Neurospora crassa OR74A: one gene and its partners. The protein of the gene in region 1 interacts with the protein of each later gene in a pairwise test. Links are inferred from orthologs where the notes say so. Each region holds a gene or a part of one and is shown on either strand. Other genes may lie near its edges. The genes, in order: NCU08951, NCU04455, NCU08903 and NCU01612.

What was found.
Region 2: the proteins of NCU08951 (region 1) and NCU04455 interact in binary tests that used the Saccharomyces cerevisiae proteins (3 or more experiments, as listed by UniProt). The link is inferred for Neurospora crassa OR74A from reciprocal best matches to the Saccharomyces cerevisiae genes NHP2 and NAF1.
Region 3: the proteins of NCU08951 (region 1) and NCU08903 interact in a two-hybrid assay, tested with the Saccharomyces cerevisiae proteins (2 studies listed by BioGRID, with this or other methods). The link is inferred for Neurospora crassa OR74A from reciprocal best matches to the Saccharomyces cerevisiae genes NHP2 and NOP10.
Region 4: the proteins of NCU08951 (region 1) and NCU01612 interact in binary tests that used the Saccharomyces cerevisiae proteins (3 or more experiments, as listed by UniProt). The link is inferred for Neurospora crassa OR74A from reciprocal best matches to the Saccharomyces cerevisiae genes NHP2 and PRP43.

The regions. Positions count from the first base shown.
Region 1 is NC_026505.1:5,798,320-5,801,860, forward strand, and holds NCU08951 (ribosome biogenesis protein Nhp2), read right to left. Parts: upstream 2,376-3,541; 5' UTR 2,123-2,375; coding exon 1,837-2,122; intron 1,730-1,836; coding exon 1,287-1,729; 3' UTR 538-1,286; downstream 1-537. Other genes in the region: NCU08949 (hypothetical protein), read left to right, coding at 1-91, 170-227; NCU08952 (translation regulator GCD7), read left to right, coding at 2,991-3,088, 3,146-3,541. UniProt on the Saccharomyces cerevisiae protein: Non-catalytic component of the H/ACA small nucleolar ribonucleoprotein (H/ACA snoRNP), which catalyzes pseudouridylation of rRNA and is required for ribosome biogenesis.
Region 2 is NC_026504.1:3,301,277-3,305,584, reverse strand, and holds the start of NCU04455 (hypothetical protein), read left to right. Parts: upstream 1-1,464; 5' UTR 1,465-1,751; coding exon 1,752-3,857; 3' UTR 3,858-4,308. Other genes in the region: NCU04454 (mannosyl transferase), read right to left, coding at 37-718, 829-899. UniProt on the Saccharomyces cerevisiae protein: RNA-binding protein required for the maturation of box H/ACA snoRNPs complex and ribosome biogenesis.
Region 3 is NC_026505.1:695,487-698,546, forward strand, and holds NCU08903 (Nop10 family nucleolar RNA-binding protein), read right to left. Parts: upstream 1,841-3,060; 5' UTR 1,778-1,840; coding exon 1,600-1,777; intron 1,517-1,599; coding exon 1,491-1,516; 3' UTR 502-1,490; downstream 1-501. Other genes in the region: NCU08902 (hypothetical protein), read left to right, coding at 2,842-3,060.
Region 4 is NC_026502.1:2,956,854-2,961,015, reverse strand, and holds the start of NCU01612 (pre-mRNA splicing factor ATP-dependent RNA helicase PRP43), read right to left. Parts: upstream 2,825-4,162; 5' UTR 2,601-2,824; coding exon 402-2,600; intron 336-401; coding exon 210-335; 3' UTR 1-209. Other genes in the region: pp-2 (protein arginine N-methyltransferase HSL7), read left to right, coding at 3,614-3,748, 3,832-4,162. UniProt on the Saccharomyces cerevisiae protein: Pre-mRNA processing factor involved in disassembly of spliceosomes after the release of mature mRNA.

The DNA of each region.
Region 1 (3,541 bases):
TCGGCATCAACGTCCTCGCTAAGCTGTTTGAGACTGTCGGCCTTTCCGTCTTCCTTACCTGGTGGGGAACGCGCACCAACCCTTTTGAGTAGTGGGTCACCCTATTGTAAAAGAACCTATCTACTACGGTATATCCTGTGGGAACAGTCTGCTGACATGGTTGAAACAGCGCCTCTGCTACCTCCGGATCGCCTACTCTCGGCCGGACAAGCTGGCGTGCCGAGTAAAGGGTCCTTTTTTGAGTAAGAGGAACTCTGGTATGGTTTAATGAAGTTAATGATAATGGGGAACTTGAGTATCGCACCTACAATTTGGAGTGTGGGCGTGTTCCTGGGCATTTCCTGTTTTTTTTCTTGGTACCCTCTGTATTGTATCAAGCTATTAGCATAGTATCAGCATTCCTGAGATGAATGGAAGACGCTGGCGATAACTCACTATTTGGCTCGTGTGCTTGTTGTCTGCTGGTGACCAGGAGTTGTCTTGCATCTGATTGAGTGTTGCGATGGTAGTTGGCCATGTCGATGTTGTGTTGTGTGTCGTGACATAGGCCAGAAGTACAGCCCGCGGCATTCGACCCAAAGACGCTTGAACATATACGAACTGGAAAATGAGAACTGATGAACTTGGTATTCCTTTCTCATATATACCGTACAAAATACAAGTGTTTACCCCGCAACGCCTTCCATATTTTAATGACAGCAAGTAGCCAGCGCCATAAATCCATAACCGAAACCAGGATAGACTAAAACCGTCAACCCATCAATGCTCTCTATCTATAGCTTAGATAAAAGCCCAGAACAACCAAGCCAGCCCATGGGAGCCGACCGGATGTGGTCAATGCGGAAGAGATGATGACCGATATCCGACAATCTTTTCGTGATGAGAGCGAGAGGTGGGAGGAGCCCGAAGCGGAGACAGAAATCGACATCGAGGGAAGAAAAGAGTGATAGAGGTTGTGATTAAGGCGTCACAAACTTGTTCCTCCTTCATCTGTTCCCCAAGCCCAGGCAAAAGTCCATCGAATAACAGTCTTTGCGCTCCCCGCCAGCGTCCAATCTCCAAGATGATCGGTCGCCTGTTTTCTTCTCTCTCAACGGTAAGACGGTCCGATTGTCTGAGCAAAAAGCACGTACGCACACGAACACTCTTGCAACAAGCAGACGCACAATCACACCGGCACCTGCAATAGTGTCATGGTCTCATGTGCTCCCGCTGTCGCCATCATGTCGTTGCAGCCTTTCATCTTTTGTGTGTTTTGTTTCGCTCGAGTCATTGCTCCCGCCAATTTAGGCAGTGCCCTTGACCTTGGCCTCGATCTGGAGCGGGTGAGTACCCTTGACCCAGGGCTCGACCTGGACGTTCCACTGTTTTTGCGCCGTCTTGACCAGCTCCTTGTAGGCCTCGAGGTACTCGGCAGGGTCGACCTTGTCGCCCTCCTCCTTGCCAGAGGACTTCTTGCCCTCGGGCTTGAGCATCACCACCGAGGTGGCGCGCTTGGTGCAGGCGGCAACGCCGAGGTCGGCGCGCGAGCGAATGTACAGGTAGGGAACGCCGTGCTCCTCGCACAGAATGGGGAAGTGCATGATCACGTCCATGGGCGAGATGTCGCCGGCGATGATGACGAGGCCGGGAGCGTCGGCGGGAGGGGAGGCGGCGGTCCGGAGGGGGCACTTCTTGATGGCCTTCTCGCACTCTTTTACGCCGCGGTGGATGGACTTGAGCTTGGCGCCTGTTTGTTTTTTTTAATCAAAAGTTAGCTTGGGTTCAGTACAAGTCGTGCGTGGGCTGCGATTGAGGAGCCTGGCAATGCAATTGGAGAGTAGTCACAAAACGTACCCTTCTTGATCAACTTGTAAATCTTCTTGTGGGTCTTGTCGTCGGCGAGGGGAAGGGCAAAGGGGACGAGGTCCTCGGCGGTCTTGACGACATCCTCAGGGTCGACGGAACCCTCCTTCTCGAGGTGAGCCTCGACGGCCTTGGCGAGCTTCTCGGTCTTCTCCTTCTTCTCCTTCTTGTCCTTCTTCTCCTTCTTGACACCGGCCTCCTCGCTCATCTTCTTCTCCTTCTTGTCCTTCTTCTCGGACTTGTCCTTCTTCTCCTTGATCTTGTCGGTGGCACCCATCTTGTCGGATTAAATGTGTGTGTGTGTTGTTGTTGGTGGTGGTGGTTGGGTGTGTGTAGATAAAGTTGGTGGTGGAGGGGGATGGGGTATCAAACAGGAATTAAAGAATGGTTATACAGACAACCACTGCAGTAAAGAGAAAAAAAAGTTACTGGGTTGGGGCGTCAAGGTATTTGGTATCGTGATGGGGCGGTTGATCGCAGAAATGGATTCTTCAACGCAGATTTTACTGGGTCCATCAAGTGACCCAGTCAATCAAAGCAGAGCGACGCGACCAAAAATTTGTAGGCCAATTGTAAAGCCGTTCCGCCCGGGGGCCGATAATGCAGGTGAGCGCCTGGAATTGGGTGCGATAAGAGGGACCAATTTTCCGATAAGCACGCGATAAGAGGAAATGTCTTAAACTTCCACCTTTTGCTTGGTGGGGCTTTCCATTCAGTACGACAGGGATTAGTAGTAGTCTTGAACTTAAACAAGGCCTGCTTCTAGCCTGCCGCAAACTGGCAAACAGCGGCAGTGCTTTGTCCTTGAAGGCCGGTTGCTTGCCTGCCCCACTAAATTTCTAGAGCTTGTGATACCTACCTCCAAGCGCATTCAGTGTGAGCCATTGACTCACCTCGACAATTCACTGGCAAAAAGTCCACAATCCCAAGCGACATTGGCCCAGTTCTGGAAGCTATTGTTGGAGAACCTTTTTGCGACCAGCAGCCTTGTCATTCCCCCCCGCCTATATCGATTTCATAGATATCCGTCCAGTACCATTCGTAAAGACCATACAGCCTCGAGCAGGGAACAGTCGCACTCTCACTTCGACATCACCTCCACAATACCTCAGTAGCACACAGAGTACTATACACAGCTCATCGCCATGGCGTCGTCGCAAATGAGCTATGCCCCCACGTTGGGCAAGCTCCTCAAGTCTCTCAACACTCAGCCCTTGGAGGCTTCTATCGAGGCTCTTATTTAGTACGCCTACGCCTGCTTCATATCTATCTTATATCAGATCCTAACATGGTTGGGCAGCCTCCTAAAACGTCGCCAAGTCAAGGGCGATGATGTCGCCAATGCCACAGCCCATATGCTGCTCCAGGTCGTCGCCAAGTCTAAGTGGCAGAACGTCGATCAGCTGCTCGCAAAGGTCTCCAACACCGGCCACAGACTTGCCCAAGCTGCTCCCACTGAGCAAGTCATCGGCAACGTTGTCCGCCGAGTAATGGGTCTTATTCGTGATGAGGCTTCCGAGGACAGAAATGCCGACGAGATGGGCGACTCAGTATCCGACCTCTCCCAGCTGCCCACAACGCCCACCATTTCCACAAGGCCAGGCCCCACGCCCCTCCGCGCCGCGACTCTCCCCATGTCCAAGTCCATGTTCAACCTTCTCTGCGTCTCAGAGACCGCACAGTCACCAGTTACCGG
Region 2 (4,308 bases), on another chromosome or scaffold:
AGAGGGCACAATGGCGAAAAAAGAGATGTGACCTACCACAAGCAGACCAGCCGCAACGACACCGCGGACCACACGATGAGCGGCTTCAAAGAAGCGATCCTTATCGCCGACCAGGGCAAAGAAGACTTCCTCCAACAAGAAAGGGGCGCAAAGGGCGGCGGCAAAAGGCCACCCAAGCACACCACCAATGGCAAAGTAGAACATGGCCATGGAAGTCTTAAGACCCCCACGCCAGTTCATGAAAGCGGCGGCTCCAAGCATGGCCATGTACATGGCGAAGCTGGAGGGCAGGTAGGCGGTGCTGGAGTGGAAATTACCGGGGCTGAATACGAGCGCCACGATAAAGAACAGGCCGATCCTCGGGTTCAGGGCCAAGCAGATAGCCCTCCACATGAGCGTTTGGCTGAGGGCACAGATGAAAGCCAGAACACAGCGGACAAAGTAGAACTCGGCGACCTTGTTGGAGTGAGGGAGCAGCCTGCGGATATTGCCCACAATGGCATGGAGGGCGACGTAAAGCCAGTTTCGGATGGCATAGTCGGGCGAGTATTCCCAGGTTTGGAGGCCATAGCCGTGGCTCAGATAGTGTGTTGGCTCCCAGTAATTGAAGGTCTCATCACAGTCCTGGATGGGGGCGAAGAGAGCGGCAATCAGGTTGGCTCCGAGGAAGATGTAGAAGGCCGAGATGGGCTCGATCGCGTAGGCATCTCGAATTGCCCTGGCGACACGTTATGTTAACTACACGTTCCAGCAACAGATGTCAAGCAGACATGAGTGAAGCAGAATGGAAGCTTGTCATGATCGTGATGGGTGCTGGGTTTCACTAACTGCTTCTTGGCATGTTTGGCTTTGGGATGCACAAACTCCTTCTTGGGAGCTTCGCTGGTAGGTGGTGGCATCGGATCGTCGCTGTCTTTGGAACTGGTGTGTTTTGGATGAATTCAAGAATAAGTTGGAATTGGGAGGGAGGAAGACAAAGTTGAAGCTAAAGGAAAGGAAAGGAGGAAATGTCGTCACAGCATTGGCGCTATCAGAATAAGCCGCCCGCGGTCAACAACACAACTTAACCCGCAACTGGTCAGAGTCTGGCGTTCAACAATAACAGAAAAGTTGGGGGATTTTCAGCAGCTCGTCTTGCGTCACTCCCGCAATTGGACAGCGCTCCATCAGAGGTTTGATTCGGTGCAGGCAGGCATTGGATTCAATGCACGTGAAGACGTCGGTTCAGGCAGGCTCGGCAAGCTGGGCTTGTGCTGCGCTTGTCTGTAAAGAGAATAGCGCATTTAAATCTAATCCGTGCTTCCTGCAGCTTTGCCCGCCATTCGACAGGGGTCTGGCTCGATAACCTTTTTTTTTTTTTTTTGCCCATGTCCCAAATTCTGGATGTGGTATGTCCGATAAGAGTCGCGATAAGGAAGTGGTCCTGCAAAGGAAGTTGCTGTTTTGCCTGAATCTTTTCCCTTCCTTCGCCATCCCATCAACTTGCTCACAGAGTGTTTATCTTCATATCCTTTTTCGAGGATTGATTGCGCTGGGTATTTGATATCGCAGTTTGAATTGATCGATATCTACAAGAAGGCGCACCCATCTTCTTTCCCAAGAAGCACCCTGTGCCACGCGTGGTGCTACAGTCAATTCGCCCACCATTGCCACCTCTTGTCAACCAGCATTCACCTTCATCGTCACCGTCGACAACAACACTACATTCAGCCTAGACCACTATTGCTGCCTTTTCTTCGCCTCGCTTTGCCATGTCTGAACACCCCTTTCAGATTCCAGGCCTTGGCCAGGCAAGGCCAAACGAGCAGCTCCCTGCTGACAATTTTGCACCTGATCTTCTTGTCGCTGCCGCTAGCATCGTCGGACAGGACGTCCTGGCAGTGAACTCTGCTGACCCTGCGCAACTGCTTGGATTGCCAAAGCCAAAGACGGAGGAGAAGAAGGATGAGAATGCTATGGATGTTGATTCCAAGCAATCAGACAGCACGCCTGCAAAGGCACAGGAAGACGTCAGCATGACGAATCACGGCGACAACAAGCAACAAACTGCCTCCGAGAACCCCGCCGCTTCCAACCTCGACTCTCCTCCGAGCCCCGACGTCACTTCTACACTCGAAGCCGCCCTCAATGGTATGCTGGATGCTCCCGCCAGTTCGGCAAACATGACCAACGGCGATCAAGACGGAGTCCAAGAGGAGGAACACCCTGAGTGGGAGGAGGATTCGTCACCATACGAATCTTCCTCGGAGTCGAGCTCTGATAGCTCATCCGATGATGATTCGGATGACGAAGATGCGCACCCCGTGTTGGGCGTGGAGGAAACAGTCAGGATGCTCATGGCCGGCCTTGACGAGGAAGACGAGGATGGACCCAACAAAGGAAAAGGAGCTGGCGCGCCATTGCGGACCAAGAACGAGATCGTCGAGGAGATCATTCCTAAGCCCGAGGTTGTCATCACCCCCGAAATGAAGATTGAGCCTCTGGCTCACGTCGAGTTTATTGTTGAGAATACCGTGGTCATGAAGTCTAGAGTCCCCGGCGAGGTCAAGGTGCTCGACTTGGGTTCGGTTCTTTGCAAGGAAGACAGGACGGTCATCGGCGCCTTGGCCGAAATCATCGGCAATGTCAAAAGCCCGCTGTACACTTGCGCTTTTGCCAACCAGGATGAGATCAAGGAGCTTGGCCTGGAGGTCGGCACACAGATCTTCTACTCCGTTGAACACGCCAATTACGTCTTCACCCAGGAGCTCAAGAAACAAAAGGGCACCGATGCCAGCAATCTTCACGACGAAGAAGTTGGTGCCGATGAAATGGAATTCTCCGACGACGAGAAGGAAGCCGAATACAAGAAGCAGCTAAAGATGAAGAAGCGTGGTGGAAAGGCTGGACGCGGGGGTCTGCGTGAGCAGGTTCTTCGTGACCAGTCTTACGCCCCAAGCACTGCGTATGCTCCCTCAGCATCCAGTGCCACCCTCGACCACAGTCCCACAGTATCCAGTGCTACGCTTAACTACGACGAGGATGACGATGGTCCCTACAGGCCTCTCGCTAGGCCCGTAGGCTTTGGTCAGGGAGGGCCGCCATCACTGCCACCGAAGCCCGAGGTCGGATTCAACGCGGCACATGGTGTTCAGGGTCAGCGGGGTGGCTTCAGCCGTGGAAACCGGGGCGAGTTTCGCGGACGTGGCCAGCGCGGAGGATACCGTGGTGCTGATCGGAAGCCTGGTGGCCACCGTGCTGGACGTGGTGGTGCTGCCGCCCCTTCCTATGGAGGCTACGAGAGCACTTCGGCACCTCCTCCATTCCCCAACACACAGCTGCCTCCTCCTATTCCCCCGAATGCACAAATCCCCCCGCCTCCCTTCGGCGCAACCCCAGGAGCAGCACCCCCGATGCCCGGTGGCCATTGGCCTCATATCCCGATTCCATTCCCACCGCCGCCTATTTCCTTCCCCCGGCCCTCGACCCAGTCACCTGTTCCTCCCCCTCAGCTTGCAGGAGCTTTTAACTTCAACTTCCAGGCGTGGAATCAGGCTCAGGGCCAACCGTATCAATACCCACCACAGTCCTCGTCATCATCTGCTTCCGCGCCCCAGCAACAATCGTCGACTCCCAGCTACCCTCATCAGGCACCGACCGTCCCGCCTGTGTGGTCTGGCGTCCCGCCCCCACCTCCTATCTCTGGCGCATACGTAAACCCGAACTTCTTCCAACAGCTGCAGGCCCAGCATGCCCAACAGCCCCAACAGCCCCAACAATCCCAACAACCTCAGCAACAGCAGCAACAGCAGCAGCAGCAGCAGCAGCAGCAGCAGTATTGGGGACAGCACAACGCATACGGTCAGGCTCCTAAATAGGATGAATCGAGCTACCCAGTTGCCGCGTGGATCGCCAACAATATCAATGAAGGCGTCGGGCGCCATTCTTGAGACACATATCCATCAGAGCAGTGGCTGTTCCCAGGAAATCAACCGACCATTTGTTCGATCCTTGATTTGTGAAGGCAACACGCAGTGGCCTTGACAGCGCATCACCTGAGGGTCTCTCTACCTTCATACCATCTACATGTCCCGAGTCATGTCTACCAGTATTCTTGGTTTGTTGGAGAGGGTCTGGCTTGACTTTCGGTTATGAAGAAGAATGGCTCCTTGAGCGAACCTTTGCTTGCATCCAGCATGGCCTTCATTCAGAAGGAGCATGCTTGTGCTATTGATTAGGGTATACTATTCTCTGCCTACATCAATTGGTGCAGGAAAAACGGAACAAGAGTCTGGATACTCTTCGTACAAGGAAAGGATGGGGTTTGAA
Region 3 (3,060 bases), about 5.1 Mb from region 1:
ACGGCGTTGAGATGAGAGATGTCTGGCTTTGTTGTCCATTTGTTAAGGTAGGTAGTTTTTGATTTAATTAGCACCATGGGGTAGGCCCGGTTAGTAGATACCTACCGACACTACCTAGACTTGGGCTGGCTGGCTGGCTGGCTGGCTGCTTGTAACTTCCTGGGTTGTTGATATATGGCATGGTAGTATCATTTCTGGGTACAGTGGGTAGGTAGGTAGGTAGTGTTGGTCGGGACTGGAATGGAATGGAATGGAATCTTCTTCTTGAGCCGGATGGTAAATGGCCTCGCGCATTTGATATGAACGGTAGTAGTGTGCTGAGTAAGGATTTACGGGATTAGGGAGAGAAAGGAAGGCATGGAGAGAGAATGAGCGAGCGGTCACGCCAAGTCATGCATGGTTCATTGGAGAAATAGGAGGAGAAGGTGAACACGGTGAGGAGCGGACGGACGGTCTGCTGTGACCACCAATGTATCATCAACGGACCGAGGGAAAAAAAATCATCGAGAAAGTCATTGGTATTGTTTTTCCCACACTATATGCTCAGAAGCAAGCAAAAAGACGCCAACCAAATCCCAGTTAGCCAAATGACTAGACTGAAGGAGAGATCCCGTATCCGATAAACGCCACACAGAGGAGGAAGAAGACAAGCTCTGCCCAACTTGTCTTTTCCTGTTTTTGAAAATCCGAAAGAAAGAAAAAAAAAAAGGAAAAAACATGCAATATAACCCAAGCATCAGAAAGGTGTTTCTCCGGGATCCAGAGAATCCGAACAAGCCAGTTCAGTCAGCCGGGTGCCATCCCGCCGCCGCTGCTGCTGTCGGTGCCATCATTGTCTTGTGTGTCATTATCTGAAACCAAAGCGAGCCCCCCCGGTCGTCGTGGATTGCCAATTTCCACTTCCAAATTGTTGCAAGTAGGGAAGAAAACCGTCTGCCAACGATCGGTTCGATTGAAGATCCAACGGGACAATCAAATGCTAACGCTGCAGGAGAGCAGCAGCCAAAAACGAGGTCGTGGTTGTGGAAGCAAGAACAAACTGGTCGAGCACAGCAGGTAGGCGGACAAGAAGAGAGGTTGTTGGTCAACTACTTCATGTAGCTACCGCAAGCGTTGCCGTCCTTCTTGTTGAACTCGGCTTAGTTCTCCATGTTCTTGACCATCTGGCAGTACTGATCCAGGTAGTACTCGTCCGGGTGGTTGGCCTCGAGCATGGCCTTGATCTTCTTGTCGAAACTATCCTCCTGCTTGAGCATGTGTTGGTCTAACATGAAGGAGAAGACGGCGGCCTTGGCGTTGAACTTGTGGTTGTCGGCTTTTGTCCTGAAGTTGTCTTTTTCGTCTTCCATCATCTTAACAAGGTTCTTGTGGGTGTTGGCATCGTCTGGACCGACGAGTCTCGCGCCGGACGCGAACAAAAGACGGGTGGCAGCATTGACATGGAACCTGGTCTTGATTTCGGTCAATGGGTCCCGCTGGCCACGGTCACTCTACTCGGTGGTCTTGTTGAGAGCCTCTGTTCGCAGCGGAAAAAAAGGGAACGTCAGCCGCTGCTCGACTCCATTTCACTGGCAATTGAGTGGGTGGGAAGATACATACTCTGGGCGAGAAGGACCGCAAAACGGCGGCGGAGAGTGATGCGGTGACGAGACCACTTGTCGTCGGGAGAGAAGCGAGCGGGGTGGGCGCTCTTGGTGACCTGGCCGTCGAGGACCTTCTTGAGGGTGTACTGGCGCGCGAGCGGCTTGCCGTCGGCGTTCTTGGCGGGGACGTACATCAAATGCATTTTGGCGGTTTTGTCTGAGCTGACGGGCTTGAATGTGTGTAGGGTGATTTGGTATGGTCTGGCGAGCTGGAAGATGTGTGTGGTGATTGTCGTGAGAGTTGTCAGATTCAAATCTCCTGCCTTTCGATAATTTTCGACGTTGCCGCGCCGACAATGGAAAAGAAACTGCAACGAAAAATGGAGTGGTCTGTGCGCTGCTGTCGCTTAAGGCAGGCGGTGGAGGGCCAGATGCCCCACACTGCAAGGCACGTCTAACTGGACATGGGAATTAGTGGGGCTTTGAGATCGATCCCCTGTTCATCCTATTGTCATTGCTATGGAATGGGAAGGCACGGAACTTCCAGATCTTGAACTCTTGAATCTCAATTCTGCACCGCGGGCAACGGTCATTGGACAGATTTTTTTAATCATGGTTCAGTGCGCCGCGGGTACGGATTCACACTTCATTGACCACGGTAGTCCATCAACGTGCCGCGAACAAAGGCCTCCAGAACAATGTCTTTTTGAACTTCACGACAGTTCTTGTCTCCCTGTTTCTCACTTTCCCGTGGCCTATCAACATGATCAAGCCACGGCAATACGCTGTGTCCCCATTGTTCAGACCTTGTCTGGGACATATCCATGATCAATGTCTCTTGAAAAACTTTACTCCTGTTCTACCGGCAGAATGACACAAAATGCCGAACAATAATGCCCTTCACAAGTTCCCATTCACCGGGAGTGTTCTCCCCTGAACCGGACACAAGGGTCGTTGCTTCATTTCAGTATCCTGAACAGTTTAGTTGTCAATCCCTACAGCATTACTTTGACACCAGCATAAATACTCAATGATTCCGTCACCCCAATCCCACAATTCGAAATGGTCTCGCTCATCCTCACGACAACCAAAAATCTTGAATCAACAAGGCGTCAAACCAGCTTTTACGAGAAAAGGAGCACTCCAAAAACCAAGGTAACCACCCCCATCCCACAACTAACAACAAACCACTACTCCGAACCACCATCAGGCATCCCAAGGTAAACCCCATCCATCCCAAGATAACCATACCTTCAAAATGTGTCAAGGCCGCATAATCTCCCACTTTTGCCCCTCCGCCCTCGCCGGCGACCCCCGCTGCCCTGCTTACCGCCTCACCACCCTTAACGGCGGACGTATCCCCGCCTGGTCCTATTACTTCGACTCGGCCACCGCTCACTGCTGCGGTCGACATTCTCCCCGCGTCGACTGTGGCGACTGTCCCTACAACACGTATGGCCGACGTAGTGACGTTACC
Region 4 (4,162 bases), on another chromosome or scaffold:
AAGTTCTCCTTCTCCTGCTTCTCATTGCTGTTCCCGGCGGAAGAGGTCGCACCGGTGCGGGCGATGTTCTCCGTAACGTGTACGAGCGGCGGGCGACTCGGCTTCTCTTTCTCGGTATCCTTGGTCTCTTCACAACGACCACTACCATCAGCTACCACAGCAGCAGCGGAAGAAGACTTGTTCTTTCTCTTCCTGTCTCTACAACGCCACTAACGCGCGCTGCCGCTGCCCTTGATGGCTTGCCTCCGCTTGACCTTGTCGGTGATACGAGTGAGCGCCGACTTTATCTCGCCCTTCTCAAAGGTATCGAGGTCGTAGTAGACGGGGGCAATTTCCTGGTTTACATAGGTCAGTTTCAAGATGCCATTGACAAAGGGAATTCATAAAAGGGGAATACGTACAAGAAGCCACTCAGGACGAATGTTGGTCACTGTCCTGACGTACTGCTTGGTTGTGAGAACGAACTCGTTATAGACGACCCAGTCGTATGGGCTCGTCACCGACGTACTCGGGTGGATCATGACGAGCTGGTCGTCCTTGACCGTCTTGTACACCTTGCTGTTGCTGCTCTCGCGCATGGCCACCTGCATGAAGAAGCCAGCCAGGAGCGCGCGGCGGATGTTGGTGTAGTAGTTCTTGTCCTGGAACGGCGTGCTGACCAGGCTAATGTCGTGCGTCTCCATAATACGCTTGAGCTGAGCCCGGACGTTATCGGCGCTCGACAGGTGACGGTATGAGAGGAAGTGCTCGTGGCACCAGCGCTTCATGTCGTCGCCATTGGTCTCGGCACCCTTGAAGGCGTGGTAGGCGTTCAGCAGCGTCAGGTGGTCGCCGTCGGGGTGGGCGAACTGCATCTTCATCTCGTCGGCCCGCTTACGCGCGTTGTTGGGGCGTACCCATATCGAAGGGACGGAGAGGAGGGACACAATGGAAAGGATCTCGTTGGAGCAGTAGAACTCGGGCGACGAAATAAGCATGACGGCGAGGGCGGGGTCAAGCGGGAACTCGGAAGCCAAACCACCGAGACGCGTAAGCTCACCATCGTCATCTAAGCAGGCGAGGTAGTTAAGCTCCTCCAGGGCGCGCATCATGGTCTCGGGCGCAGGAGGGTCCATGAGATCAAAGTGTACCAAATCCTCAACACCAAGCTTCTTCAACTCCAGAACAGTGTTGGCCAGGTTGGATCGGAGAATTTCAGGATAGGTTTGCTCAATAAGTTCCTTCTTGAAAGCCTTCTCGGTGTAAAGACGGAAGCATTTACCGGGCCGTGTACGACCAGCACGACCAGCTCTTTGCTGAGCAGAGGCCTTCGAGATAGGAGAAACCAACAAAGACTCAACACGAGAGCGGGGGTTGTAAATCTTTTGCTTGCTGAAACCGGGGTCGACGACGTAGACGATACCATCGATTGTCAAGGACGTCTCGGCAATATTGGTCGAGACAATGACCTTGCGACCAGGCCTGCCACCCTTGCGCAGGGGCTCGGGGGCCTTTTCGAAAATGCGCTGTTGGTGCGCAGGAGGGAGAGTGCCGTAAAGAGGGTAAACCTTCATGGGGCCAGCATCCGACTCGCGAATCATGTCGTCCACCTCCAAGCTGATTCTTCGGCAAGCATCCTCAATCTCCTCCTCACCAGTAAGGAACAGCAAGATGTCTCCCTCGGGTTCAGTGGCGTGGATCTGGAGGACGGTCCGTACGGCGGCCTCGAGGTAGTCACGCTCGGGCTCGGGGGTATAGAAGATCTCGACGGGATGGGTACGACCGGGGACGGCGAGCAATGGGGCGTTGTAGAAGTAGGACTGGAACTTTTGGGCATCGAGCGTGGCAGACATGACAATGATCTTGAGGTCTGACCTGCGGGCGGCGATCTGCTTGAGCAGGGCCATGAGGATATCGGTCGCGAGGGTACGTTCGTGGGCTTCATCGAGAATGATGCAGCTGTAGCGGGACATGTCGTGGTCGTGCATGGACTCGCGCAGGAGCTGACCATCCGTCATGTACTTGAGCATGGTCTTGGGGCCGGTCCGGTTCTCGAAACGAATGCTGTAACCGACTTCCTGGCCCAGTTCGACATCCAACTCGTTCGCGACACGCTGGGCAACCGACATGGCCGCCACCCTTCGGGGCTGGGTACAGGCGATGAGCTTGCCGTTCGTGTGGGGGAGCTCGTCGTAGAGGACGTATTGGGGGATCTGGGTGGTCTTTCCGGAACCCGTCTCACCGACGAAGACGAGGATCTGGGTGTTGTGGTACATGTCGAGGAACTCCTGGCGCTGCTTGTGGACGGGGAGGTCGCGCCTCACTTTGAGGATGTCGAAGTATCTCTGCGAGTGCGGCTGGCCGGTCCACGGGTTGAGCTCCGAGTCCTCGGCCTGGGCGGCCTGGGCGGCGGTGGTCTTGTGCCTCTCGAAGGCGTCGAGGGGCGATTCGAAGTCGCCATTGGTGCCGTTGCCGTTGCCGTCCTCGTTGAGATGGGCGAGGTAGGGGTTGTACTTTTCGGGGGCAGCATCGCCATTCTCGGCACGCTTGATGCGCTTTGAGTCCTGGTCGTTGCCGTCCATGTTGGATCTCTTGACGCCTTTGTCGTCGTGGCTGGCCATTGTGGTACCGACCGAGGGCAGCTGGCCTTTTTTTTATATCTTGTTTCTTCGAGCGAGAGGGGTGGGTACTAGGAAACAAAACAAGAAGACCGAACTGAAGGGGAAGAAGAGAAGCGGCGATAGGCAAAACAGAAGGCGGAGTGTCGATTATGGCACCTCCAGTGGCAGTGATGAACAACAGCGAAACAGAGTGGAGGGGAGGGCAGTGGGCAGGCATGCGAGGCTACAACTTTTTTTTTGTTTGATGTCAGGGCGATAGGTCAGACCTGGCCGGCAGTTCCTGGCCGCAGCGACTCTCGACCAATGAGGGGTCACAGTGATAAGCTTCAGTGGAGTAAGGAGTGTCTTTGGCAAGCGCTGATAAGCAAATCACTGTAGCATTGGACAGGACCCTGATGGGCACTAAGACGGTAATTTTCTACACTGTTCTGTAACTGTCAGGTTCACTCAGTTTGTTCCTGCTGCACGTGAAGAAGAAAAAAAAAAGAAAGAAAAAAAGAGGCAAAATGCAGGCAGGTTGATGAAGTTTGTGACATTGTGACATTGTGACATTGTGACTTTTGGCGCATTGGGTTTGTGTGCAATCTTTCTTTCACTCAGCTATTTCATTTTCCATGTACCTATCCATCTATACCCCTCCATACCTGTTTATTTCGAGTTGGTGACCGTTGAGGTTGGACTTTTTCCTCTGGTGCTTCTTCCCTGGAAATATCCACTGCCATGGGGTCAGTCCGTTTTGGGAAAAATAAAAAAAAAGTACCATCCAACTTTGATTTCAGTCTTTACAATTTTCCCTGTGATTGGGTCCGATACCTCATCAAAGTACAGCCTATACATTCTTCTACTGTATACAGGCCCCAGAGACTAGTATAGCTACCTTCTCCGTACCCCTCCCGCTGCTGTTCGTACCACCTCAAACCTAACCTGGACCATCGCGGGGTTATTTACTTCTAGTCTCGTCCACTCTCTTTCACTCACTCGGATTCACATAAAAGTCCAGTCACTCACTCATCATGTCTTCAAATCGCGGGTTTAACCCCGAGTCCGAGTCTTTCGAGCAACGGCCGCCCTTTTACATTGGCCAGCATGATGTCCAACGACATGAGTCGCCCACTGACAATCAGTACGGCCAGATCTTGGACAGTGGTGTAAGTCTTTCCTTACATTAAAGTAGGAAGAGAAAGAAGAACGAGCAACAGCATAAATTCTAACACACATGAGATGAGAATAGTTCAACTTTGTCACCACCCCCATCACCAACGAGCACTTTCACCAGCGCGTGATCGACTTGTACAAGAGCCATCTCCAAGAACGGGAACAGTGGGTCACCGAACGGGGACTCACTGACGCCCAAAAGGCCAACCCGTCGCTGCCACTTCCTACGGTTCCTACCTTGACTGACGACGATACATCCCTGTTTCCCAGCAGCTATGTTGGCTCGCTCATCGCCTATGCCAGCCCATGGATCGACCTCTGCTCTGCCGATCCCATCATCTCAGACATCTCCCGTCAGGTGCTGAACCTCGAGCTCGCCTACGCCAACTTCTGCGGCTCCAGGACCA